Linked DNA regions of Sus scrofa. The protein of the gene in region 1 purifies or fractionates together with the protein of each later gene. This does not show direct contact. Links are inferred from orthologs where the notes say so. Each region holds a gene or a part of one and is shown in the gene's direction. Other genes may lie near its edges. The genes, in order: LMNA, KPNA6 and HNRNPM.

Region 1 (3,610 bases):
GCCTGTGGTGGAAGAAGAGTGAGTCACCCCATGGGCACCAGCCTCAGCCCTCCCCCCACCTTCCTGGATCTGCCTACCTGGCGCCTTCCCTTGCTTTAAGGCAGCTTTACCTCTCTCCCCTATCCTTTGCCCACCCACTCTCACCCTTTGGCTCTGCCCTCTGCCCCCCAAAGGCCAGAGGTAGTGGGGACAAGCTGGCAACTTGTCAACTGGCAGTGGGGACAAGTTAAGCCGGCAGGGACCTGGCTGCGCGAGCTTCAGCGAAGCCACAGGCAGCTGGGGGTGCGCTAGAGAGGGTGGGGCGCCGACTCCGCCAACGCCGGGCAGTCCTCACCCCTCCCACTCTCACCCCAGTGGGTTAGAGACGGCCCCTTTAAGAGCAATGGCCCCTCCTCCCATTCCCTAGACCTATTAGAGCCTTTGCCCAGGCGCCGGTGACTCAGTGTTCGCGGGAGCGCCGCATCCACACCGGCCAACCCAGATCCTGAGGACGACAGCGTCTGGCCCAGATCCCCACGCCTGCCAGGAGCGAGCCGAGAGCCAGCCGGCCGGCGTGCTCCCACCTCGATCAGTCTCTGTCCTTGGCCTGAGCCCCGCGCCCTTCCCGGGACCTCTGCCCCGCGGGCAGCCTTGCCACCCTGCCGGCCATGGAGACCCCGTCCCAGCGGCGCGCCACCCGCAGCGGGGCGCAGGCCAGCTCCACCCCGCTGTCGCCCACCCGCATCACCCGGCTACAGGAGAAGGAGGACCTGCAGGAGCTCAATGACCGCTTGGCGGTTTACATCGACCGTGTGCGCTCACTGGAGACGGAGAATGCAGGTCTGCGCCTTCGCATCACCGAGTCTGAAGAGGTGGTCAGTCGCGAGGTGTCTGGCATCAAGTCTGCCTACGAGGCCGAGCTCGGGGATGCCCGCAAGACCCTCGACTCGGTGGCCAAGGAGCGCGCCCGCCTGCAGCTGGAGCTGAGCAAAGTCCGCGAGGAGTTCAAGGAGCTCAAGGCACGGTGAGTGCGCCCAGGTGGCGACATGCGTCATGCGTGGCCGCCGGGGGCGGGGGGCGGGGGGATGCGGAGAGAAGCAGAGAGGGCCCGTCGACCGTCGCCCCTGCCCGGCTCCAGGCTGCCGGATAACTTTGCCTTATAGTCTCCTCCCTCCCCGGAACCGCCCCCGGCGGGTGACTGGCAGTGCCAAGGGAAATTGTCAAGACAGGACAGAGAAGGGAGGGGTCCTGGGAGAGGGTGGGTGTATATAAGAAATGGTGGAGGCATCAGGGCCAAGTAGGAGCTGATGGCAGGCCCACATTCTGTCAGGGTGGGATTTGCCAGTCATCTGGGGCCTGGGGGAGCACCTTGGGCCAAGGGGAACTGGCCCTGCTATGTCTAAGAAATCTGGGCACCCAGGACACTTTGGAGTGGGTGAAAGGGCCCTGTTAGAACTTTCTTGGCAGGCTTGGCACGATGCCAACTTTGCCTAGCCTGGCTCTGAACACATGACACCCACTTAGACAGAGATCTCAAGCTGGTGGATAGCCAGTGGTGCTGGAGAGAGATCGCCAAAGCAGAGCTGACTCCCTTTTACCCCTGTAGGGGCATGGCGACGGCCCCCTTGGCATGACCTTTTCCAGGGTTCTTTCTAAGAGTTGGGAAGCTCTCCCTCACTCCCGGCATGTCTGGGATCTTCTCTGGTCTCTGACAGGCCAACCAAATAGCTCCCGGAGAGCGGCTCCCCCGCAGCTCCCACAGCCCTTGGCCTGCTTGGCCCAGGAATGCAAGGGAGGGAGGGAGACAGAGGGCAGAGGCTCCCAGCTCAGGAAGTTGTGCTAGGCCCAGGTCTGCACCCTCCAACTCTCCCCACCTCCCCCTACCCCACTCCCAACCTCTGTCTGGAGTCTTTGAGGGCTGGGGGCTCTGTCTCTCCCTGCCTCCCTCCTTGGGGTGAGCCACTTTCATTTTCCCAACCAAGTCCAGCAGTCTTTGCTCTTTTGCTCTGGCCCGTCCTCTCAGCCACTGACGTGTGGTTTTTTTGGTGGTTTTTTTTTTTTTTTTTTTTTTTTAATCTTTGCTTTATTAAACTACTGGAATATAGTGACATTTTTGAAATCCAGCCGTTGGAAGCTTTAGGCCACTCCTACCTCACCCATCCCTGCCCCACCCTGCCGCACCCTACTTGGCCCCTCCCTCTTTTCTAAGACAGGCCTTTGGAACTGGGAAGTTTAGGCCCTCTGCAGCTCCCCAAGAATTTGTTTCCCTCCTCTCTGGTCTCCTTTTCTCTACTCAGACCTCAGCCAGAGAGCACTAAAGGTGCTTGGAGATCCCTGGTGGAGGAGTGGGGGGCCCTATGGTTTGGCTTCCCTTCTTTGCATCATCTTCTCCAGACCCATGCCCTTCTCTGAACCACTCTGTATTCCGCGTTCTTTATACCCCTTGGCTAGCCCCCAGCCCCAGGCGAGGTGGCTGTGGCAGATCCATCCCCCCTGTGAAGGGTGATGGAAATTGTGTGGGGAGGCAAGGTGACTTTATTTCTGTTGAAAGGGATCGCTCCTGCCTTTGTCCCTTTAGTTAGGCGGACAGACAGGAGGCCAGCTAGGGGAGTCCTGGAGTATTGGTGTTCTAAATCAGTCCACTCAGCTGCCAAACTGCTACCTTGCAAGATCCCTGTGAAGGGCATTCTTAGCAGATCTTTTTTCTGGGGAAGACATTGATCAGGGAACAGAAAGAGTGGAGGCTACGGTCTCTCGCTCACTCAGCCACTCCAGTTTGTCTCCTCTGTCTCCTGGTGCAGCTGTCCCGGCTGGGACACCAGGCGGGTGTGCGCACACGTGGGGCAGGGCCGGGGGTGGTGTGTGTACTTGTTATATTTAGCCACCTGCCTCTCCTCTCCCCCACTGATCCTGGCAGGGGAGGCTGGGCTTCCGGAAAAGGGGGGTGGGTTTGCACACCTGGATCCTAGGCTGATGGGAGGCAGGGTGGAGGCATAGGGGGCTCCGCCTGGGGTATCTGTCCCTTTCTACCTCCCCCACAGGGAGGAGCCAGGATTCCTTGCTCCCTTTTCCGTCTGGCGTGCTCAGGGTGAGGTGAAGAGTGGAAAGAAGAATTTGGGAGAGGAAGAAAGGCATTGTTCTAACTCCTCCCACTAAAGCCTAGAAAGAAGGTGTTGTCTGGTTTAATGTTTAATTAGAGCTCAGAGTTCAGGGCCAGACTTTGGGTTGGGATGCAGAGTTATCTGTAAAATCTTGTGGCAATTCCTGGCCCAACCTGGGTAACTTGGCCACACCCTGGGACTTGAGGCACCCTTTCATTAGGCTGGGTAATAGGCTCTGAGCAGGACCCCCCCCCTTTCCTGCACCCACAGACACATCCACACGTCCCTCTCTACCCTGGAGCCTGAAGGATCTGGACACCTAAGTGCAGGAAGACTGAGGAGGTTAAAAACATTAGGGAAGGCCTGCCTGGGGTTCAGGCTTTAAGCTAGGCCCCACCCTAGGCAGGCCGGCTGAGTGGATGACTCACATGCTGCCCCCCCTCCCTCCCACCCTGGTGGCTTTACAAGAGACAGCAGGAGACAGAGTGGGGACAGCAGATGGCTTAAAGGGAAGGATGGGGGCCTGAAGG
Region 2 (4,394 bases), on another chromosome or scaffold:
AAGACAGGAGCATATTTGGGGGAAAGTGATGTGATAAGGTCTCTACTTTTTTTTGTTGTTTTGTTTTGTTTTTTGGTCTTTTTAGAGCCACACCCATGGCACATGGAGGTTCGCTGGCTAGGGGTCGAATCAGAGCTACAGCCATAGATCCAAGCCGCATCTGTGACCTACATCACAGCTCATGGTAACACCAGATCCTTAACCCACTGAGCAAGGCCAGGGGTCGAACCTGTATCCTCATGGATACTAGTCAGATTCGTTTCCACTGAGCCACAAGGGGAACTTGTAAGGTCTCTACTTTTAAAAAGATAGTAGGTGCAAGTGGGAGAACCTGGAGGCAGGAGACCAGTGAGGAGGCAGGTAAAATAGGCCAGCAGAGAATTAAGAATTCTGACCTTGAGCAGTGGCAGTAGGAAGAGAAAGATAACCCTTCCGTTCCAGATTGAGTCCTAGAGTCGGCTTTTTTTTTTTTTTTTTTTTTTTTTTTTTTTTTGGCCGCACCTGCAGCATATGTAAGTTCCCAATCCAGGGATCGAACCCCAGCCGCAGCTGCAACCTATGCCACAGCTGTGACAACACCAAGTCCTTAACCCACTGTGCCAGGCTGGGATCAAACCCATGCTGCCACAGAGACAATGCCAGATCCATAACCCATTGCACCACAGCAGGAAATCCTAGATTTGCCTTTTTGAGTTGTCTCCCTCAATGTGCCAGGTATATAACTAGAGATGGCAATTTGTTGGGACAGGACCTAGGCTTCCAAAAGATAGCTCCCTCTGGGGACAGGTGACTGGGAGACATAGCTTTCCTGTGTGGAAAGGAGAGGACTGTCATGCTATTATGCAAAAAGGCAGACCTAATGTATACCAGCCATAAATTCCATAATTCAAAAGACACATGAACACTCAGAGCCTCAATTTCCTCACCTCTTAAGAGGGAGGGGAATTCCCATTGTGGCTCAGCTGATTAAGAACCTGACTAGTATACATGAGGACAAGGGTTTGATCCCTGGCCCCACTCAGTGGGTTAAGCATCCAGTGTTGCCATGAGCTGTGGTGTAGGTTGCAGACACTGCTCAAATCTGACATTGCTGTGGTTGTGGCGGAGGCCGACAGCTGCAGCTCCGATTCAACCCCTAGCCTGAGAACTTCCATGTGCCGCAGGTGCAGGTGCAGCCCCAAAAACAAACAACAACAAATAAAGAGGGAGATCATACTCCTTGTTTTGTGTAACTCACAGGTCTGTTCACTCCTTTGTTTATTCACTCAACAATTACTTATGGTGCACTACCATGTACCACATACTATGCTAGGTGCTGAATCGCAATGATGAACAATGCAGGATCGACCTCTGCTCTCAGAGAACTTGCATTGAAGATAAATTAAACAGCTATGTCAACTATAAAGCATGGCATGGGTCTCATTATTTTTCTACTTCTTATCTCCCAATAAGATTGTAACTGGGTTTGCTCTAGACTTCTTTAATTCCTTATCTCTATATCCTTGAGCAAGTCACTTCCCCTTTCCAGATGATTCTTTTTTCATACCCAGCTCAGAATCTAGGCGTGGTTTTTTAACTAGGAAAGGTAGGAATATCTTTCTGGAAGAAAAAGTTTCTAGGGGAGGTAAACCTCACTACAAAGAGGAAACAGAACCAGAAAAAAACTGAGAAACCCTAAGCACGCTTAACTCGCTTTAGTAGATATCCCTCCCAGCTTCCCTCCACCCACCCCTTTCATCATAGTCCATCCCTATTCTCCGCCTTTAGTAGCTGCTGTCTCTTTAAATGCGCTCCACTGCGTAAACTAGGCGGTGGAGCTGAAAGCGCGATTCTTCCCGGGATCGAGTGTTAAGTTGTTTGTCCGTTTCGGGCTGCCGTCCTGCAGATCCGCCATATTGTCTACTGAAGCTGCTGCCGCTGCCGCCGCCAAGTAGGAGCGAGCGGAGCCGCGATGGGTGAGTAAGGAAACCAAGCAACTGGGGACTCGGGCTGAGGCGGTCTCGGGGCTTGGGGTCTGGCGAGAGCCTGTCTCTAGTCTGCAGAGGATGTCTTAGTCTTTCCAAATAGGTTTGAGGGAGAGAAGCCAGGCCGGGAGCGCTGCTCAGGCCAGTTTGGGGCCGGGTTAGGGCCCATGCGGGGATCAGTCTTTGGGGGGCTGGTTCCAGGAACACCTTGCTACTCCTGGAGCCCCCACGTGGTGGCTCTGGGCTGGATTCCCCTTGTTCCCGGGGGCTGGAAGGGGGCCGACCCTCCGGCCTGCTCTGAGCCAGGGGCTGGGGGCCGGGCTCCTGGTGGCAGGCCCGGGCGGCGTTAAGGGGGCCCTCTCCAGGCGTGTGTCTGACCGACGCGCCTCCTAATTAGATTCACTGGTTCCCCTGAACTCAGGCAAATCCTGCCTACGTCGCAGAGGGAGTCCTAGGGCTAAGGGACGCCTGCCGAGCCGGCTGCAGGCCCTTAACCAGGGGCAGCCTTGCCGAATGCAGCCTGGGCCGCCGAAGGCCGGGAAAACTTCCAGAGCCGAGGCGGAAATGGGGTGGTTCGGTTGGGTTCAGAGTGACAGCCTTCATAGTGGTAGAATACCACTGCCAACACCTCGTAGCCATATATAGGTCGGAGACCTTAGGTCTCTGGGCCCGGCACTGCTTAGGAGAAAAGGAGCGACCTGTTGCTCTTCCTAAGGGGACTCCAGCTAGCAAGGCCTGTGCCCAGAATGCGGTGGCGAAGTCTTTGGACGTAGGAACAGAACCATCAGGGGTACTTCCTCTCCAGCAATAAAAACTATTAAATTTGCTAAGCTCTTCCTGTGTGCAGGCATTGTTCTGATTGCTTTACATGTCACGTTTTATATAATATGTACAACCTATTGAGATAGATATTGCTGTTATCCTCGTTTTACAGATAAGGAAACTGAGGCTTAGAGAGGTAAAGTAACTCAACCAAGGTCACACAGTCAGCGGCTTAAACCGGGGTGATCACTAGCCCTAGCTAGTTTATAGCTGCTGTTCTTTATGGCCTGGCCCCCTAGTGGTTGGGCTAGAAAAGGGAGAAAGAAAGCTTTTAATCCTAGGCAAAGTTGTAAAGGTGTTTTGTTTTTCTGCTAGTGGACTCACTTTTTAATCAGAAAGAAACTGAAAAACTCCAAAGTGAAATTGCTAACCCTAACTATCGTGTGTGTTGAGAGTGGGGGAGCTAAATGAGATTCTGGGATTGAGTTTTGTAAGATCTGCCATCCTGAGGAAACATGAATTATTCCCTTGAACTGCAAAGCAATAACTTTAGAATCAGATCTGGTGTTATAATCCTACCTGCTATGCCCTCCCTAGCTCTCATCCAGTCACTTAAATGTCAAATACATATGGAAAACATCTAGCACAATCCACAGTAAATGTTATTTTCCTTCCTTTCTGAGACTTCCTTTCCTTGTCTCTAGGAAGAGGGAAGGGAATCCAGGTGTTTGAAAACTAAATAAGATACGTCAGTATTTGGAGACTAGGAAGGGCTCTATAAATATCAGTAGTTCTTTTGTGGCAGTGAGTTAAGTATGTGGGTTGTCACTGCAGCAACTTGGGTCACTGCTGTGGCACAGGTTCAATCCCTGGCCTGGGAACTTCTGCATGCCACGCGCATGGCCAAAAAAAGATTGATAGGCTTGTCTTTGTAACTGTAACTTTATGTATCAATGAAAAATTTCAGGGGATTTTATGTCATAGATTTTGTATTGGCCTTCAATTTTAGGAACACTGCTGCATCAAAGGTGAGGAACTAATATATAGTTTAATAAGCCCCTTAATTTTTACAGATTGGGAAACTACCTCAGAGAATATAACACAGGCAGTAAAACAGCAATGCCAGAACTGAGATTCTTAGCCATTTTGCTATTCATAAACCTCTAAGACTTAAGGTGTGATTAAAGCTAGTCTTTTTCCTGGTAGACTTTTTTTTTTTTTTTTTTTTTTTTTTGCCTTTTCTAGGGTCTCTCCCACGGCATATGGAGGTTCGCAAGCTAGGGGTCCAATCAGAGCTGTAGCTGCCAACCTACGCCACAGCCACAGCAACGCCAGATCCAAGCCGAATCTGCAACCTACACCATAGCTCTCAACAACCCCGATCCCTAACCCGCTGAGCGAGGCCAGGGATCGAACCTGCAACCTCATGGTTCCTACTTGGATTCGTTAACCACTGCGCCATGACGAGAACTCCTTCCGATAGACTTTGAGAGTTCTTTAGTAGAGCAACAAAACCCGACCAAGGTCCTGAAGGGGACTTTTAGGCAGCCCTTTTCTCTGCAACTACATTTCAGGCACCTCCCCCGACCCCACCTTGCTCCTTGTCTTTCTGAACACCAGGTTATTGGTATTTTTGTTTCATGGGGGTTTTTTGTGTTGCGTGGGTTG
Region 3 (4,132 bases), on another chromosome or scaffold:
GAAAAAAAAGGAACAGAGGATTTTAGTAGATCAGAGATTTTAGGAGGGGAGGGGCTTGCAAAGGGCAATCTTGAAGGAAACCTGTGAGTCTGAAGAGTTTGGGAAGTCTGTGGGAACGGGAGCTGAAAGGAGAGGGTGGGGCCTAGCCTCCGGATCAGGCTGGGCTACTGGGTTTATTCTCTGGGACTGAAGTTCTTAATCCACTCAGAATACCAGCCCAAATTAAGCGTTTTATTTGGAGGAGGATGCGGCAGGTGGGATAGTCCCCCAGAGTGGAAGGAAATGTAGTTATTCAGTGAGAGGGAGAGGAAAACAAAACAAAACATCTCTTCCTTTTTTTTTTTTTTTTTTTTGCCTTTTTGTTATTTCTTGGGCCGCTCCCGCGGCATATGGAGGTTCCCAGGCTAGGGGTCGAATCGGAGCTGTAGCCACCAGCCTACGCCAGAGCCACAGCAACGCGGGATCCGAGCCGCGTCTGCAACCTACACCACAGCTCACGGCAACGCCGGATCGTTAACCCACTGAGCAAGTGCAGGGACCGAACCCGCAATCTCATGGTTCCTAGTCGGATTCGTTAACAACTGCGCCACGACGGGAACTCCACATCTCTTCCTTTGTGAGCTTAGAGTTTGGTGGTTAGGTGGGAACTCATGCAAGATCCAGTAAAGCATTTCAAAGTTCCAGATAGGGGTGGCTTCTGGGGAAGGGAGACAGAGGGACCCAAGATCAGGCAGCAAGGACCCCACCATTTCTTCCATTATGTGATCTCTATCACGTTTGGCTTCTTGCTTTTTCATTCACTCAGGAAACGTGCATAAGCACATACTAAGTCTCCAGTCATGCGTTTGGCTTGTAATGGATGGGTTCGGTGAGAGGGACTTAGTCCATGGGCTCTGCATCCAGGAGTTCTTAGAGCGGTGGGGAGATAGGTCGGATAGAGCCCAGGTATTCTTGGTGCAGGATACTTGCTTAGAGAGAGCATTTTGCACATCTGTCCTACTGCCTGGCCCTTCAGTGTCCTACCCTTGCCTGGCTAACTCGCTTATAGCCTAGTATAGTATTTCGCTGCCCTTCTGCCCCAGCTCTGTTTGCAGATACCTTGGAGTTACTGGGTCCGGGTAGGGGAATGGAAGGATGCCTCCCCTGCCAGACCTCGAGAGCGGATGGTGAATCCAGGAGGTGCCAAACGCGAGAATGAATTAACAGCTGATGGTCTGCGCCTGCGCGCGGCGGGGGGCGTGGCCCGGGGCGTGAGGGAAAGAGGCCGGAGGCCGCCGCGGCGCGCGCAGGCGTTACTGGTCGCGCCGGGTCATGTGAGCGCGCAGGCGCAGCGCCGCGCAGCCCGCTCGCTCACACAAAGCCCAGACGCGAAGAAAATGGCGGCAGGGGTCGAAGCGGCGGCCGAGGTGGCGGCGACAGAGCCTAAAATGGAGGAGGAGAGCGGCGCGCCCGGCGTGCCGACCGGCAACGGAGCTCCAGGCCCGAAAGGGTGAGTATCCTATGGCTTCTCTCAGGCCGGGCACTTTCACGGCGGTCGGCGGCAGCTCCGTTAGGTCTGTTGGCGGCCTTCTCCAGGCGCGGCTTTGGCCGAGCCTTCCCGGCAGGGTCTGCCGAGAATAGGGGCGTCAAAGACTGTGAGAGGTGAAGCTGGGCGGCCCCGGGAGCGTCTTCAGGACCGCTCCCTCCTCCCATGCTTCGGCTCTCAACTTCTCCGGTCCCTCTAGGCCGGATCCGACGCCGACGCCGAGGCCTCAGGCCCAGACTCTGCGTGCGGGGATAATGGCGCGCGGGCGCAGAAGCCGACCAGTCTGAGAGCCCGCGACCCGCTGGCCTATCGGATGACCTTGGGCGCGTGGTTTCGCATCCCTTCCCTATCGCCCGGGGTCTCAGTTTCTCGATCCGTAAAGTGGGGGGAGGGGAGGGGAGGGAGTGCGCACGCAGGGCTTTGCGCGCGGTCAGTCTGGGTAAACGGTAGCAGAGGCGGGTAGGTACCGGGAAGGACCGCGAGGCCGGCTCGGGGCACCTCCTCCCCGCGCCTTCCCCTCCCCCCCCTCCCGCCCCCGCCTCGCGGGAAATGCCTCGGTCGGAACCGCCCCTTGCCCGACGCTCAGGCGCAGGCTCAGGTCCCTCACCTCCTTCCCAGGTGCGCAGTAGGTATTTGTGAAGAGATCGAACCGTTTGTTCTTCAGTGTTCAGCCGTAAAAACAAAGTGTAGGGAATAAAAGGGAAACATCCTCTTCCGTGTTCCAGAAGGTTTTCCATCATTAGGCGGATTCACCCAATCCAAACTCCGTCACCTTTTCGAGTCCTGTTTGAGGCTCTTTCTTGGGTCCTTGGTATTTAAGGTTTTCTTAACACTTTAAAGTAACGTCCTGTGTTCTCGTGAACCCCACTCATTGTGATTACAGCCTCTGAAAAATGCGGAGAGACTTTTTGGCCCCGACCAGCAGCTGTGGGGGGAGGAGAGGGGAAGCCTGGGTGCGCATTTGATTTCCCATGGACGTTAAAAAAAATTATTGGGGGGTGGGAATTGTAACAACCGAAGATGTTTACAATTTTAATCATTTTCAAGTGTACAATTTTAATCATTTTCAAGTGTACGATTCAGTGGCATCAAGTGTGTTGGCGGTATTGTGCAGCTATCACCAGTGTCCATGTCCACAACTTTTTCATCATCCCAAACAAACTGTAGCCATTAAACAATAACTTCCCATCTCCCTCTCTTCCTGGTTACCTGTGTTAGGCGTTCTGTCTTTTCTGAATTTGTCTTTACACAAGTTTTTAATGTGCATCATTAGAGTTTGTGGGAAGTAAAAGTGAATGTAGTTAAAGAACTTTGTTAATAAACACTCACTAAATAATAGCCATGTTGCTAAACTTGGGGGTGGGGGACAGAATACCATGGTTACTGGTCCCTGGAAATAAAGAGAAAGTATTCCCAACCCTTTATTATTGAAAGCTCTGGAAAGGGCCTTGTTCATCTAGACTTTTTTCATTACCTAGTAGGGAGCCTAGTAGGATTTTTGAGGGTTGTATTTGGAAGATACATTTGATTTCCTTTTTTTTTTTCTCCTATCAAAGCAGTTATCACAGGATGGAGTGCTGCTAGAACTGTATTAGCTGAGAAGTTATCAGTTACAGATTTTAACATCTGGGGTACATTTTTCAACTTTCCCATTTTCTACTGTCCATTTCAAAATAGTCATATTGTGACTTTTATTTGACAAACATAACACATTAGAATCTGAAGGTTTTCAAGACAAAAGAGCTCTAGTTGAAAAGAATCTGGGACTGCTTAATAGAGAGTATTTTAGGAAGTTAACAACACTTAGATCTTTCTTGTAGGGCCACTGGAAAACTGTGGTTTTTGTTTCCCTTTTTTTGCATTATGAGGCTTTTGAAGTAGAACTCTTTAAATTTTATTATTATTATTTTTTGTCTTCTTATGGCTGCACCTGCGGCATATGGAAGTTCTCAGTCTGGGGTTGAATCAGAGCTGCAGCTGCCAGCCAACACCACAGCCACAGCAGTGGGGGATCAGAGCTGCATCTGCGATGTATACCACAGCTCACAGCAACGCTGGATCCTTAATCTACTGAGTGAGGCCAGGGATGGAACCCACATCCTTAGGGATTCTAGTCTGGTTCTTAACCTGCTTGGCCACAGGGGAACTCCCCAAACAGAGGTCTTTAGAAAATGAAGCCCATGCTCATAAGGGGAGGCTAATGAATATTTTTGTATTAAGGTAATTGTGCTGTGATTGAGGTAAAAGGAGTTAACCAGGTATGGGTATGAAGGGGCTCCCCTCCCCCCCCACCAACTTGTTGGGGGATGGGCAGGAGATGTTCTTCCAGGAGGAGGAGGAGGATGAAAGGTGATAGGGAAGAGTCAAAGAGGAGTGTCCAAAGACTAGGGATTTTGATATATTCTTTGCAAATTTGTAAAGAACTGAAACTGCTGGAACACTGGGGGCCAGCTGGTGGGCAATGAATTCCAGGCTAAGGCATTTAGATTTTTATCATGAAAGCCTTTGAGGGATGGGAAGTGAGTGAAACTAGGTTATTTTTACCTTTGTCTCCATCAGGAGTGGAGTGTGCTGTAAACCTAAAAGGCAGTGGGATAGCAAGCTTGA

What was found.
Region 2: the proteins of LMNA (region 1) and KPNA6 purify together in Homo sapiens (affinity purification with mass spectrometry; 4 studies listed by BioGRID and IntAct, with this or other methods). This does not show direct contact. The link is inferred for Sus scrofa from reciprocal best matches to the Homo sapiens genes LMNA and KPNA6.
Region 3: the proteins of LMNA (region 1) and HNRNPM fractionate together in Homo sapiens (co-fractionation; 3 studies listed by BioGRID, with this or other methods). This does not show direct contact. The link is inferred for Sus scrofa from reciprocal best matches to the Homo sapiens genes LMNA and HNRNPM.

Annotation. Positions count from the first base shown.
Region 1 is NC_010446.5:93,916,224-93,919,833, reverse strand, and holds part of LMNA (prelamin-A/C), read left to right. Parts: intron 1-406; 5' UTR 407-647; coding exon 648-1,003; intron 1,004-3,610.
Region 2 is NC_010448.4:88,609,570-88,613,963, forward strand, and holds the start of KPNA6 (importin subunit alpha-7), read left to right. Parts: upstream 1-1,558; 5' UTR 1,559-1,951; coding exon 1,952-1,955; intron 1,956-4,394. UniProt on the Homo sapiens protein: Functions in nuclear protein import as an adapter protein for nuclear receptor KPNB1. Binds specifically and directly to substrates containing either a simple or bipartite NLS motif.
Region 3 is NC_010444.4:70,856,016-70,860,147, reverse strand, and holds the start of HNRNPM (heterogeneous nuclear ribonucleoprotein M), read left to right. Parts: upstream 1-1,306; 5' UTR 1,307-1,376; coding exon 1,377-1,489; intron 1,490-4,132. UniProt on the Homo sapiens protein: Pre-mRNA binding protein in vivo, binds avidly to poly(G) and poly(U) RNA homopolymers in vitro. Involved in splicing.